Linked DNA regions of Drosophila melanogaster. The protein of the gene in region 2 interacts with the protein of the main gene of each other region in a pairwise test. Each region holds a gene or a part of one and is shown on either strand. Other genes may lie near its edges.

Region 1 (6,504 bases), on a different chromosome or scaffold from region 2:
GAACTCAGAGCTAGAAAGGCCAAACAATGCGGCAAATTTTGTTTGCCTACCGTGCACAATGAGAAAGAGGTCCTTTCATTCATTACAGGGACCAAAATGCAATATATTCGCATTGAAAGCCGGTCGAAGAGGAAATAAAACCATATCAAATCTATCTATAAAAGTACAAGGTTATTCTTTAAATTAAAAAGAATTTAATTAATGAAATTTGAAATGATTTTTTTTTCAAGTGTGATTGGGCTGGGAGGATTGGAGAGGCGTCAGCAGCCAGTGGAGCCATTATCAGCTGCTTTGAGCGATTACACGTTGTGAGAAGGGACTGGGATAGGACTAGGATGAGCAGGAGCAGGAGAAGCAAAACACCTAGGGCTGAGTTGGAAGCGGGTCAGGGTCGCGTTTAACAAAATGTAAACACAGGGCGACCAAGTAGCGCAGTGCCTGGGCTATCTACCTTCTGTCACTGTCTGCCTGGATGGCCTATATATCCTAGGTATCCTATTCCCTGCTCCTCCTTACTTCTTGTGGCGCCCGGATATTACAGATACTCCGCGTTACGGTAATAGCAACGCCAACAGCCGGCGGACAATGCTATCATCCAGAAGAAGACCTTAAATGGCACAGGGAAATTGTAAAATTTGTAGCATTTTGTCACTGTCCGTGTAGCGGCGATTTGGCCAAGTTAAGACAAGTGGAGAAAATCCCTATGGGTTTCGCTGGCTTTCTAGCAGAAATATCTAAATTAGACTGTCAAATAAAAATGGGGACAGGTAAATAATTGTATGTAACATGATAATTAAAAATCATGGTTACTAAAGTAAAAGTGTTTCTAATCTAGTAACTCAGTTACACAAAAATTATTTCTAAATATTAATATGGTCTGTAGCTTTTAACTGAAACTCTAATGCAATTTGTTTTGGTTCCGTTAAATAAATTAAAAAGCTGCAAGACATAAAAGTAATTTACGTCAAAGCTCTCTTTAATTCACTCAAAGTTTGCTGTATTTCACGGGAAAAATTCAGCATTTCCAGGATTAAAATCGAGCGAAAAAGTGTAATTTATTTCTGCCAGCCAACACTTTTTTTGCACCCTGGAGTCGGATAGTTGCTTTTCATGGGGCCCGTAACGAGAAATTGTGTTTCGGGACATAGTCACGCATCCACGTATGCAAATTACCAGTGAACAAGAGCTGCTCCAAACTACCTACTTGCCAGAACTGTGGGCAAACATTTTAATTGGGAATTCGTCGAGCCGCAGAAAGTAAATAGAGGAGCGTGCAAACGACAAGTGCTCCGTTCACCGATTTCCCCTGCACGACAGCCTCCTGTGAGTGGGAAAAGCTGGAAAATGTGAGTGGGGCGCAATTCACCCACCCCCACCCAGCGCCCATATCCTTCAACTCCTTCCACTTAGAAGCCTTCGATTTTTTGCGTAAGTCTGCACTTTGCACAGTTTGGCATGCGTAACTTGCAAAAGGATCAACAAAAAAAGGGAATGGCCTCCGAGTTTCGTGTTGAGTGGACATGCCAACGAAATTCAATTAGTTAAATTCCCCACTGAAAGCAATAGATATAAAAAAGAAATTTGGATGCTTAAAAGATTGATAAACGAAACACAAAGTGACTGAAGAAAAACTTATGTTCCGATAATTATATAAGTATTAATATACACCCGATTTAAAGCCCAAAAGGTAGAAAGTCAGTAAGGTATTTCCTATATGTTGTCTTTAAGCTGATTCATAAATCAACAGTATGTTTTTATGAATATAAAAATGTATTGAATGTTTTGAGTAAATGCATTAAAGCAGATAAGAAGCATGTAAATAAACGGAATTTTTTACTCTGCATCAGTTTTTTATGTGTATATATCAAATGGGATGTCGACATCAGGCCAAATACAACAAATGTGAGCGACTTATTTAAAAATGTAAAATAAATATTTGCGCCTGTGGCCAGCATCATTCACTTTATGCGCTTTATGTCGGTTATTTGTTTACGCGTTTTTTATCTGCGGCCCGCAGTTTTTTGGTTATTTTATTTTTATTTTTTTTTGGGTCCTCCGCTTGTTTACGTCCGGAAAACCCGGTCAAAAGTCGTCGACGGGAAAAAATTCGTTCACTTTGCTGCTGCTTTATTAAAAATTGTTGTGCAAATGAAGCGGCAATTTGGTATTTTGCATCTCGCAATCCAAGAGTCCGGGAAACGTTCATTATTCACAACACACGCCGTGAAGAGATAAGTCTGGAATCCTCGGCACAAAGTTAATTAATTTCTGCTTTTGATTAAAGCGCAACCAGAATGAGCCAAATCTGCTAGGCAGGGCCAAAACAAAGGGCCTAATCCTTTTGCGGGCATCCTGGGGCTGCACACGTACGTGCGTGTGTTTGTGTACTTGATGGGCCAAGGATATAATGATACCAGGATGTGCCCCGGGCGTGTTGAACATTTTAAACACTTTGACTTTGCAGACGACATTAATGAATACATTTCGATGGGCACACACATGCGAGGGAAAAGCGGGCTAACTGGCCATCAGTTCAGTTGTTTAAAATGCCATTAGACTCGCTGGGCTGGCCAGCCTGTCAGCATTTGCCTGCTGTCCATTTTCCGGATTTGTCCGCCACTCCGCGGCAGTCCACCGCTTTTCCGACCCAGTTTTCGGCACGCTTTTCCCCACATTTTCCCTACGCTGCGAGCTGTCAGCATGCATAACTGTTGCTGTCAGGATTATGGCTTGTCATATTATGTATTATAGAGTCTTTTATTTGCTTTCAATTAAAATGCGTGTGTCATTCGGCTGCGCATATAAATTGCCAACAAAATAAGACGCAAATTTATGCAAACGATCCGAATGAGTTTTCTTTTTTTTTTCATCAGTTTCGCCTAGCATTTGTTGTTTTGGTTAACTTTTCCCTTGTCTTCTTGTTGTTGGCGATTTTGTGGGGAAACTGAAATGAGTTTTGCCGCTTGATTTGCATATCCGCTCAAAACAGGAAAACTAAACAACTTTGTTTACTCCCTTCGAATGCTATAAAACTTTCTGCGAAAACTGTGGGAAATATCAATACAAATTGTGAGTCTTGTAAAAACAATCAAATGAATTCGTAAATTATGACATTGATGTTTCACCCTTGAAAGGGGAAAAATACATTTCATGTTCGGAAATATGAGTAATATTTAATGGATTAAGAGAAAGCCCAAAATTCTCTGACTTCATAAATCTGAAATTTACTTTAAACCCAATTTTCGCTTTGCCCGCTGAGTGTGGAAATCCAATTTAATCAAGTTTTTGTAATAAAAATCAAGCGGATATTAAGCTAATGCTCCTGACCCTAATAGCTAATATCTCTTCGTTTTTAACGCTTTTTTTGCTGTCTGTGCGGGTGGACACAATGCTTATTACTGATTGATAGGAATCTAAATTAAAATGGCATAATAAAGGCACTTTGGAGCAGACCTCGACCAGACGCGATGGCAGGTGTAAGTGCAGGGGCTCAGCTGTGGGGCTCAGGATCCGTTCGAGTGGAGCGCCACAAACTCGGCCAGGGATTAGGGCCAAGAGTAATGACAGTTGGCTGGCCAGAAGCAGGCATTAGCCAAGCCTCACCCCAGTCATCCCAAACAGCCCAACAATCTGATTGCCATCGATACGGCAGGCGGGTCACGTCCATAAAGTCTCAATCGCAAAAATTGCTGAAGCAGGTGCCGAAGACAGCTTAAAGTTGCTCCTCATCCTCGACTTAAAGCTCAAGCAGCGAAATCCAAAGAGTGAGCTCCGGGCAGATGCTTAACTTAATTATAAATTAATTAGACGGGGGCCGGCAACATCAAAGTATCAATAATTAATCGCCTTGATAATGTTTTCAATTTCTTGCTTCATTAAGTTGTTTTATTTTCCAGCCTGTGAGGTGTTTGTCCGCCGTCTTTTCTCAAAGCCCCCAAGGGCTAAGACATAAGCCTGGTTAATACGTTTGGAATTAGTTGGAGGGGCCAGGACCAGGAATCAATACCTTTTGTGTAATGGTATTTTATCAAATTCAGACAGGGACTTTTGCAATACATTTATTCTTTTTCCAAGCACTTTTCCAGCCAATACAAAGTTGGCAGTAACGATTCGAGGTCTTGAAAAATTCTTAAGTACTTGGGAGTTTTATAAGGCACATAAATATACTCTTCTTAAATATTAAATAGCAAATATGATTTAACAAAAAAAGAAAACTACTGCTTAAAAGTTTAAGTTTGTGGTGGGTACCTCTGAAAAAATTGCTTTGCCCTTTCAAATTTAAAAGTCCTATTCGTATTTATGAAATGAATTTAAGAATTGGCAGATATATTCTGGAACATGTGAATGAGCAGTGAGCACAGACGGAAATAAAACTGAAACCGGATGTGCGCCTGATGGCCAGACCGGAAATTAAACTATTTGCTAGCCTGCCACGCGAGTCCTTTCATAACAACAATTTTTGGCACACACGAATTCAACTCACCTGCGCGTCTAAACAATTTTTTAGTCTTAAAGTGAGAGTAGTACTTTTTGCAAAATGTATATTTTCAGGTAGCGTGTGTTAAGCGCGCGATTATAAATTTATTCGTCACTTCTTCTGGCTTTTGTTTGGCCAACAACACGGCTACGCACACACTCACATACGCACAAAGCACACACCGTTACAGCAGCAGCAACAGCCAGGATACCCACACTCGCGCACACGCACACCTTGGCCGGGAGAAGTTAGAAAGGCTATAGCTCCTATAGCCTGGGTTCCTGTTTCCCAAGTACCCAAGTTGCCAAGTTCCTGGCGACAGGATATGTCAGCCTCCGCGTTTGGTGTCCTGCTCGCGAGACGGCTCAACTCGAACTGTGACGAGGCTGGCACTTTTGGTCCTTCGAGCCGAAGCAGTGCGCTCTCGCTTCTCGCGCCCTCTCTGTCGCACGGCCGCTCCTCGGCATAACCGCCTCCCTGTCGCGCACTGGAAGTCCTGCCAGCCACCAGCTGGCCCAGCATTAAAAAGTAATATCAATTTCCACCTTGCGAGTCGCACACGAAGCAACAGCTAAGCGATTTCCCTGGATGCGGATGCAGGCAGCTGCGAACGTCGCCTATCGCACATGCCCCGCCCCCCCACGCACACGCACTTGCCACAAGGTGCGCGCTCTCTATCCATCCACTCGGCCATCCTGCCGCCGATTTCGGTCTACACGAGCGGACAAGCGTACCCGAGTGGAGACTTTTCATAATTGTTGCATGCCCAGCAATGATGCTGATGGCCATCATGATGTGGATGTCCATGGAGATGGTGGTATCACGATATTTAGGGGCTTTTTAAGGAGCGGAACTTATTGAATAATATAATATAATAATAATAATAATCGTAATGTTGATGAATTAATCTCTATTAAAATAAACGAGTGATAAAATGAGGAACAACCTGATTGATGACTCGGTGCACATTTAAATTGTGCAATGGAAGTATAGTATAAATTTTAAAAGTAAAACAAATTATAAGAACCGTTTGTTTAGAATTCAAAGTATTAGGGAATTTTCATTTAAAAAATTCATCCTTAAATAAAAGGAGTAATGATTACCAGTGCTACCTTAGGGACTTATATACGCACTTTAAAAATCCATCTAAAACCAGAAACTAAGTGTATTTCTGAGTGCTCAATAACAGAATTAATTACGTTATTTTAGCAACTTTAAGTTGACTTTGTCTGAATACAAACTAAGCCATCCAGCCACCCATACTCTCACAAAGGCGATGGAAAAAGCGCAACAGGACCAAAATAATTGCGCGTTAAACATGTGCCAAGCAACAGCCGAATAACAGAGAGAGCAAAAGCAGAGAAATCCTTTCCCGAGAGCGCGAGAGAGCGCCGGAGGACGATATTGAAAGCCGAGCGGAGCCGAGGCCCAGAGAGTCCTGCTGGAAATGTTCAACTGGTTGCGTTTCGCAAGCAACAGGATACGCTGGAAGGCAGAGAACATCGCCGAGGACGAAAACATCGCACGCACACCAGCACACTCGCTGGCAGGACCTGCAGCAGCAAAAAAAAAAAACAAAAAAAAAGGAAAACAGAAAACAGAAGGAACAGTGGCAGCACAAGGAGCCAAGGAGCAGGATGGCCGACCACAGGCATAGAAGCAGTCGCGTGCTTTAAGCTTGAATACCAAAACAATTTGAGCGCACAATGAAATTCAATGGGCCCCAAGAAATGTGGTGAGGGGCCGAGGGGGAGCTGCGAAAAAAAGCTGAGGAGGCAGCAAAAGGAAAATGTGCCAACGCGAGGTGGAAAAGGGAAAATAAGGACGCGAGCTGAGGCGTTGCGTGTGAAAGGAGCAGCGTCTGTTGAAGGACGAACGGCATCAGAATGCTGCAGAAGAAATCACGCAGGGGTAGACTTGGAAAAATCACTAAAAACCTTAGAAAATCTACTTAAAATCTGAACGTTTTTTAAGTATAACTAATTACTATTGATAAAATCATATACATAAGCCTAAATTTCGAAATG
Region 2 (8,416 bases):
CTTTAAAAGGTTTATGTATTCAGGATACAATAGAAACATTTGCAATAGAACTTTTGAAAGCCTTCGAACCTTTAAAATAGAATAACGACTTGTCCTACAATCTGTGCGAAAACTTCTTGACTACAAAGTAAAGTAATGAGGGGGCTCAATTACGTATTCCAGGTGACCCGCAATCACAGTAATTATCTCATTAACTGACAATCATAGCAACTTGATGTCCTGTCATTCCACTTCAACTATACACTATGCACCGTACACCATAAATATTAAGTACTCACTGACACAACTGCAGTGTAGCGCGACTTGAATGTGAATGTGAGAGGGAAATGGAAAATGCGAACTGGGAAAAGCGATGGGAGAAGCACAGCCACTAGTTGCTGTTATGCATAGTGCCTGCGTGTGTGTGTGCATGTATCGCTTTGTGTGTGAGTGTTACAACTGCAAGAACAACAACAAGTAGAAGCACATTTGCCCTACTACAGTTACTGTTACTTTGACGCTGTTAATGGTTCTACTCTAATTTTTGGAAGTGCAAAAGAGATAGTTGAGTGTAACAGTGCGAGGAGGTCAGCTACATAGACTGCGAGTGAGCCAGAGAGAAAATATCCCTCTAGAGAGAGAATGAGTTCGCGCATGAGCAGAGGACACTTACTGTTAACAGAGCTGTTACCGTTAAGCTACTCTGCTAATTGTTAACATTTCACACTAACCGTCAGTGTGGCCGTGCTTGCTGTATGCGTGTGTGGGTGTGTTTGCGTTTGTGTGGGTGTGCATGTGGGCCGCAGGATTTTTTAATTATGATGAAGCGCATTGCAAGCATTTTGCAATTGAAGTCGATGTGGCCAAGAAGCCTTTGTTGATGTCAGTTGTAAAAGTACACAGAAAGAAACGAAAATTTGTAATACAATGTTCCGCGAAGATATGCATAAGTAAATGTAACAGTACTCATTAAAACCTAGTTTTCATATGCCGGGAAGAATAAAGTCTTAAAGGATAATACTGTCATACTAAGGCACCTTCATATAAGTATGCAATGCAAGGGTTATTTTTGTATAAAAGGAATTCTTATGTTCTCAAGTTAAGATATTTTTTGATAAGTTTATTTAGCTGATTGCTCGTTGTAGTACATGAAAACCCATTGTTTCCTTTAATGTACCAGTAAGGTTATTTTTTTTTTCAGTTAGTTAGTCTTATATGTTTGACGTGTCCTTTGTCCGGCAGAATCCCTAGATTGCTATCCGGCCGCTGTCATTTCCTTGTTTGTCTTCAAACACAACATCAGTTCTAGCCACTTACGTCTCCTCTCCCCCCTTCCCATTCCCCCTCCCCCTTCGCCACAATTCCCCTCGTCCTGCCTTAACCCTCCGCTGGGCACCCAGCGATAGTGTCTGTCTGTGCCTGTCGGTGACTATTTTAAGCACCCCACCGTTTGCCGCACACTTTCGTGGACTTGAGCAGTGCTTGGCACCATTTATCTCCACACAACCACACATACGCACTCGTGCATGTACGCACACACACAGCGACAGGAGCCTACGTCACAGGCGACTTGTTTGCCAGCCTCCCAAACACAGAGCAAAATTGAAGCCATCATGAATTAATTATCCTTGGTTAAAGGTCCATTCCATCAGACCATTAATAAGCCAAAATGTATGTCATTTTAAGCTTATAACTTACCAAGTTAATGCGAACAAATTATAAAAATAAATATTATGTTAATCAAATGAATGAAAAAGTTTTTTAAATGAATGATTAATGTACACGCTTTTAAACTGAAATCCTTGGCAATTATTTACTTAAAGTGCTGTCAGTAAGCAAAGCGATCTAGTTAGCAATTAAACATTTAACCTCTGGTCTCAGTGCGTTCTTTAAGGAGGAGGTGGCATCGATGTCTGGTGGTGTTGTGAGGGGGCTTGAAATTTTAATGAGTTCTTAAAGTGCAGATTAGCCGGAGCCTCAGACTGCGCACCAGGCAGCCTCTTCGGAGGTCCGATGGAACCAACCAAGCCACCCAAAACTGGGTTGCGGCCTGGCTATGCTTTACACTCTATTAACCCACATTCTGGCCAAAGTCGTTGCGGCCATCGGAGTAAATTAAATGGAAAATTCCCATTCACTCGGAACTGAGGCACGTTATCTAACAGGGAGAAAGCAGGGAATTGGGAAGGTAACCTCTGCCAGCACAGTATCTTTATTTCCGCACAACGTGCCGTATGCGTAATATCATTTACAACTGCAAGGCGACTGTCTAGTGAAATATACAAAAAGTCGTAATTAAAACAATATTCGTTGACTATTCGTGGTTGGAAAAAAACGCCACAAAGAAATGAAACGAAATATTCCTGCCAACTTTGTTGGCCCCAAACTTCGACAAACTAATTTAAAAACTTTGTTGCGTTTTTGGTTTTTGGCGCGCAGCAACTTTGATTTACTTTGAAATGAAGTGCCCAGAAAACCAAGAAAAAAAAGCGGGAGAACAAAAGTTGCAACTGCAAAATGGCAATTTCCACCTTGTGTGTTGACAGACAAGTTTGCAAAGAAAGGCAATTAATTAGCATCCGGAATCGGTTGCCTTGGCAAACTCACGAAAAATGCAAAAAGTTGGCCATACCAAGCTAATATTTACATATTCTCCAGCAAAGGTCGGTGAAAGTTTTAAAGCACCATTGTCTGCTCTTCGATGCCCTAATGAGCTGTCGTTCAATTAATTGAATGCTCACACACTTGGGCCATAACAATCAAGTGCTTCTAATTGCAGCAATTATAGCCGACGAAGGCAGGGGCCAACAGCCATTGCCAACAATTACATGCATAAATAGTCGACAATGTGCTCGAGAATATGACGAGTGGCAAGTCCTAAAAATAACACTGCGAGCAGAAACTTTTTAAAGTCGAGCAATTACAATTACAATTACATTTAAGATGTTGGGAAAAGTTCATTATCCTGCTGCTGGCATGACCTCAATCGCAGAGCCAAGGAAAAAAGCGAACCAGAACACGAGCACAAAAACTATCTTGCCTATTTATAACAAGCTGCTCACACACAGGCACACACACAGACCCACGAATTTCGTCGCTTCTGGCGCTGAAATACTATAGAAAAAAACCATAGCACAGTTATGGGGTGGAAAACCAAACCGCCAAACCGGGAAATGGGAAGTGGTTCGGAGAGAAGCAGGGGGATCCCCGCCTGTGGACATCTCATGGTCGCAGTTTGGCTGGCAGCCCAGCATATAAATTATTGAATGATTGCCATCTGTCAAAATTGGCCAAACTCAACGATTAATCCTGCTCGGAAAAATCCAATAAAATCATAATGGCTTTTCTTTTCAAGCCGTTCTTTATATTTTTCAACACGGGGGATCTTTCTGTTGGCTTAAAGGAAAATTCAATTGAATAGTTGCACATTTGAGTTCTTCATGTATTAAATACATATGCAACATGTTAATTTAAATTTGGCCAATTATGTTTTAATTCATCTACAGAAAAAACTACATATTTATAGAAGGAAGCTATGAAGACTTTCTTTTCATAATAAGCCCGTCTAGGTTGTGATAATGTTGTATTAAGTATCCGCAACGTGTACCAGGCCATCGACGCGTGACTTTCGATCATTGCAGTGGAAACTGAGTACAGTGGGCTATAAATATATACGAAATACGTGAAAGCATTCAATCGGTGGAAAGTGCTGTTACGGGTATTAAAACACCGCTCCAGAGAAGGTAACGGTAACCGCATGCACGCTGTAGATACCTTTAGTGTACATATATATGTATGCATATGTACATGCATACGTACATACACACGAACGTGTGTGGTGGGTGTACACTGTATGTAGTATGTGTGTTACGCACGCAGCAGCAAACAACTTTAACATTGTTGTTGCGCAGGCTGTGGGACAAGTGTGAAGTGAAAACCGCCCCCAGAGTGCGAACCCAAAAAGTGGGACTTTTCTGCTGCTGCTGCTGCTGGTGCTGCTGGAAGCTTATGAATATGAAACGCTCACACACACATGCTGCTCCTGCCGTTGTGGCACTTGCAGTGGTATTGGTGCTGCTCCAGTTTCGTTGGCCATTTACATCTACTTTACTTACATGCCTCTCGCTCTTTTCGCTTTCTCTGTATGTGTGTGGCGGGTGTATGCGTGAGTGTGTGTGGGTGCGCGCTTTTTTGTGCCAAAATGTAGCTGAACTCTGCTTTTAGCCAATTTCTCCGATTTTATTTAGGCATTTTTCTATAATTTCGGTTTCATTCACCATTTCGCCTGCCTCGGTTTTACAGTGATTACCCGCATTTGCATATTGTATATGCATCAGCATGTGGGCGAGTATGTATATGTATATGTTTGGATATATGTATGCATGTGAGTGTGTGTGGGAGAGTGTAGTTTTACGCTGGCTGCTCTTTTTCGTATTTTTTTTTTTTTTTTGCCTTTATCGATATGCTTACACTTTTACTTTTCACTGTCCCACCATTTTCCCGGAATCATTATATCTTTCACTGGATTTTTTAACTGCACTCGCGGCGAGCTTTTTCACGTTATTGGCGAGAAAATGAAATTTTCACGCAGCAGCGGTGCTGTTGGGCAAACATTTGGTGTACAGCGAAATTTTTCGTGAGCTCGCTCGCTCGCATAACAGCTCTTTTTTTCAGCTTGCGCAAAATAAGTATTTACCACGCGATTTTGACACTTTTTGCTTAAACTGCGGTTTTCGTTTTCGGAAGCACAGGATTTTATCCTTTCTTTTTGGGTTAACTTTTTGTAATATTTTGTATTCGGGGGCTTTTGAACGGGTTGCGAACCTTTTTTGCTGCTTGTGCTTCTGCTTCTTGCTTGCTGCTGCTGCTGCTTTTTCAGGTCGCCTGTTTTCCTCTTCCACGTTTGCGCTGGGAAATTCACATAAATGCATATAGTTTACACTAGGCTACGTAGGCTGTACATAATATATCCGAAAAACGCGATCGTTTCACTGCTACTATATAGAAAAAAACTCCGCCTAGTTGTCCACTTTCTGTGGGTAGTAGCAGTTGGGTCTCAGTGCGAATACCGAAAAGTGGGTCATCTCGGTCGCGCTGCTGGCGCACTCTGATTTCTACCCAACTGCCAGCTCGGTGCTCAGTGTGCCAGAGCAGAGTGGCCCAGAGAACCCAGAGCCGAGCACTCAGTACCCAGTGCCCACTATTCAGTGTGCGGGGAATCGATTTTTCTGCCAAATGACACTGAAAAACGGGCAATTCTCTCCCGCTCTCAGAAGGACTCCTTTGGGGTTGCAACTGGGTAAATTTCTGCTCAGGGCCTGTTATTGGGGGTTTACTATTACTTTTGGCTGTTATCCGTTAACAGCGCTGTCCTCTGTTAACGACATGTGCGTGTAAATCTGAGATTTTGATTTCAGTTTACCAATCTCTGATTTTCGAAATCAATTCTCGGGTAATATAAAACAATTATTTCCACATCATACCACACCTAATACTATAAATTATAAAGTAATTTTACGTAAATTGGTTAAATATGAAACACTCTTTTCAATTTTGGAATATAAATACATTTATTTGTCGTTTTCTTTTCGCTATGTCTACATTATGAGTTTGTTGCCGTTCTTTTACTTTTGCTTAGTGTTCGATTTTCATATAACATTTTATTAATTAAAATAATTTTTTCTCCATCCTGTTGATAGTGCTGTCGGCCACTAATGTCTTTCGCTTTCGCAGTTTTCAAATAGAACATATCATTAAGTAAAAGATTATTATGTATAGTGTTTAAATTTCAAACTCTAACAATTAAAAACAGTTAAAAATTTAAGTGTTCCGTTAATGTTTTTGTTTGTCATCTCCCCGTAGTACATACATTTCCTGTTTCTCGTTTTTTTTCCACTAATTTTAAATTTATTCGTAGGCGCTTCTCCTAAACAAAAACAAACTAGCCGATGTTGTTTGTTAACAGAAAAAGAATGAATTATTTACAATAAATTGTAAACGAAAAATAAACTCTCGCACACATCGTCCGTCTCCATAAATAGTTGCTCACTAGTTAATTACAATGCTTAGGCTTCGCAAAATTTTGTGTCCGAGTATGTGTAATACATATGTATATACGATATAAATTAGGCCTATTTATTTAGTTACAACAGATTTTCATTTACGTTCAAACATTTAACTTGGACTGCGTCGGGCGATTTTGTATTTAAGTGTGTTGAGTTTATTTGATTTGTTTCGGTCTTGGTATGTTAAATGGTTATTTAAACATAAAATTAAAATGCCACTAATTAATTAATTTGCCATAATTAAAGGATTTAATTCTCTACTCGCATTTACTCTTAACTGTCAGCATTATTTGATTCGTTTGCCGTATTAGAAAAAGTGCACTTATGAATACTGCATTCGGTCTGAAAATAGATAAAATAAAAGAGAATCGGTTAGAAAATCCTTGCTGAAGCAATTTGAATTAGTAATGCAATTTGGCCCCAATTTCATGAAAAGGTCAGCGGTAATAGCCATTAGTACGTAATCGAAGCAATTTACAATTTAAAATGGGCGGGGGTCCGGCTTAATATCCGCCCCTCAGAATCTCCGGCGCAAAATGATAAACCAAACAATACCCGGAATGCCAATGGAATGACATCATCTCAACGGTTGGCCCGAAACGATAAGAAACCAGATATGAGCCGATTTAAAGAAACCGGCTGTCATGGCGTCGCAGCGTATCGTTTGATAACACATATAGTAAATAATCACTGCAGGTGATTCTTAATACTTACTGTCCTTCTTTGAAGTACTCCTTCAGCGTTGTGCTGAACTTCTTGGAATATTTGACGAACTCCTTCTTACGCTGCTCCACAGCCTGCTTGCCCGTTACGCCAGGTATAAACGAGCCGATCTCGTTGACCACATCGAGTAGTTTCTTTATGGCGCTGGCGATTTCCCTGTAAAACGCAGTAAAATTTCATTATTCATTAATCAGTTAAGCTTATGCAGTGAGTTTTAGCTTCATTTTGAGTTTTTACTTACTTGATGGTCTCCAGGAAGGTCTTCCTGTCGTTTATCTCATCGGGTATGCGGCTGAGGATCACCTTGAGAGCCACGGACTTACGATTGAGCTCCTGGAAGGGCTCCTCCGTGCGCGTCAAGCGGTATTCATTGACTGTGGAAGGGGGAAACTTCGTTAGCTACGAAACTCAGCTGCTGGCGTGGCTACTTACGGTCCGCTTCCGTAATTTTGCCCTGCAATCGGAGCACGGCCTCGTTTAGGTTAACATTCAGATCGGCCCGCCGCACAATTGTGGCTACGAGGTCATAGCAGAAGCCCGGATTGTTCTGCTCCGACTTGAGAATGGCGGAGCGCAGAGATTGGGCAGCGCCAACGTCGCGTCGCTCGAGCTGCAGGTAAACGTACACAAAGTTAAGCAATTACAAACCCAAGTACCCCATGTAAAGGTTTACGCAACAGGCCACGATCTGACGGGGCTGAAGGGTTCAGAGGTACGGTTTGGGGCTGACGGGTTCGGAGCAGAGCACAGCAGAGCGGAGCCGAGCACCTGGGATCGTTTCACCTACCTGGGAGAAAATGGGCCGCAGTATGACGGGCAGAACGAGAGACGACGTGGGCTCGCCCATTGTCATTGCTACTAGTGTGCTTGGTCTTCTCTACTGGTGCCTAGGTATCCTGGCGCATGCTGCAGGAACCCAGTTGCGATTCCCGTTCCGTGCGATGTCCGTCGCTTCGCTCGCACGACGCTCGCAAATCAAATTAAAAAATTAACAAAAATTGTTCACAACAGCACAGGCACAGTGTTGTTTTTCAATACTGGAAACTAACTGGTTTTTATCGATGAACGTGTCGTGCTTGGTTAGATATCGATTGCTTCTGTAGAAGCTGATGGTAGAATCAGCTGATTTACATAAACCTATCGGAACTCTGCAATAAATTGGTTTATTTTTGTTTACCTGTCCTTTTATCAATGATAAGAGAAATGTCCAACCACGATATCAAGCTGGAGGTCTGCGTGGACTCCATACGATCGGCTTTTGCCGCCGAGGAAGGCGGAGCTTCACGCATTGAACTGTGTTCGGCATTGGGCGAAGGTGGCTTGACACCCAGCATCGGTACCCTAAAAACTATTAAGGAAACGCTCACAATGCCCATTTACTGCATGCTGAGGCCACGGCGGGGCACCGACTTTGTCTACAGCGACGAGGAGATGTGCGCCCTGCTCACGGACATGGACTTGCTGCGGGAAAACGGTGCCGATGGCTTCGTTTTCGGATCCCTGAATCCGGATCGCAGCATCAACGTGGATCAGTGTCGGCACGTTTTGCTGGCGTCCGGTGGTCTGCCAGTGACCTTTCACCGCGCCTTCGACCTCACCGACCAGAAGTCCATGGACGAGAATGTCGACATGTTGCGGGAACTAGGTTT

The links. The genes of interacting proteins can lie anywhere in the genome.
Region 1: the proteins of Rbp (region 2) and Fife interact in a two-hybrid assay, tested with the Drosophila melanogaster proteins (one study listed by BioGRID).

What each region holds. Positions count from the first base shown.
Region 1 is NT_037436.4:2,706,869-2,713,372, forward strand, and holds the start of Fife (fife), read right to left. Parts: upstream 4,823-6,504; 5' UTR 4,484-4,822; intron 1-4,483.
Region 2 is NT_033777.3:15,371,356-15,379,771, reverse strand, and holds the start of Rbp (RIM-binding protein), read right to left. Parts: upstream 5,138-8,416; 5' UTR 4,911-5,137; coding exon 4,804-4,910; exon of another isoform or gene 4,095-4,803; intron 1-4,094. Other genes in the region: Ccm3 (cerebral cavernous malformation 3), read right to left, coding at 6,302-6,386, 6,759-6,923, 7,009-7,141, 7,200-7,377, 7,555-7,620; CG6136 (uncharacterized protein), read left to right, coding at 7,959-8,416.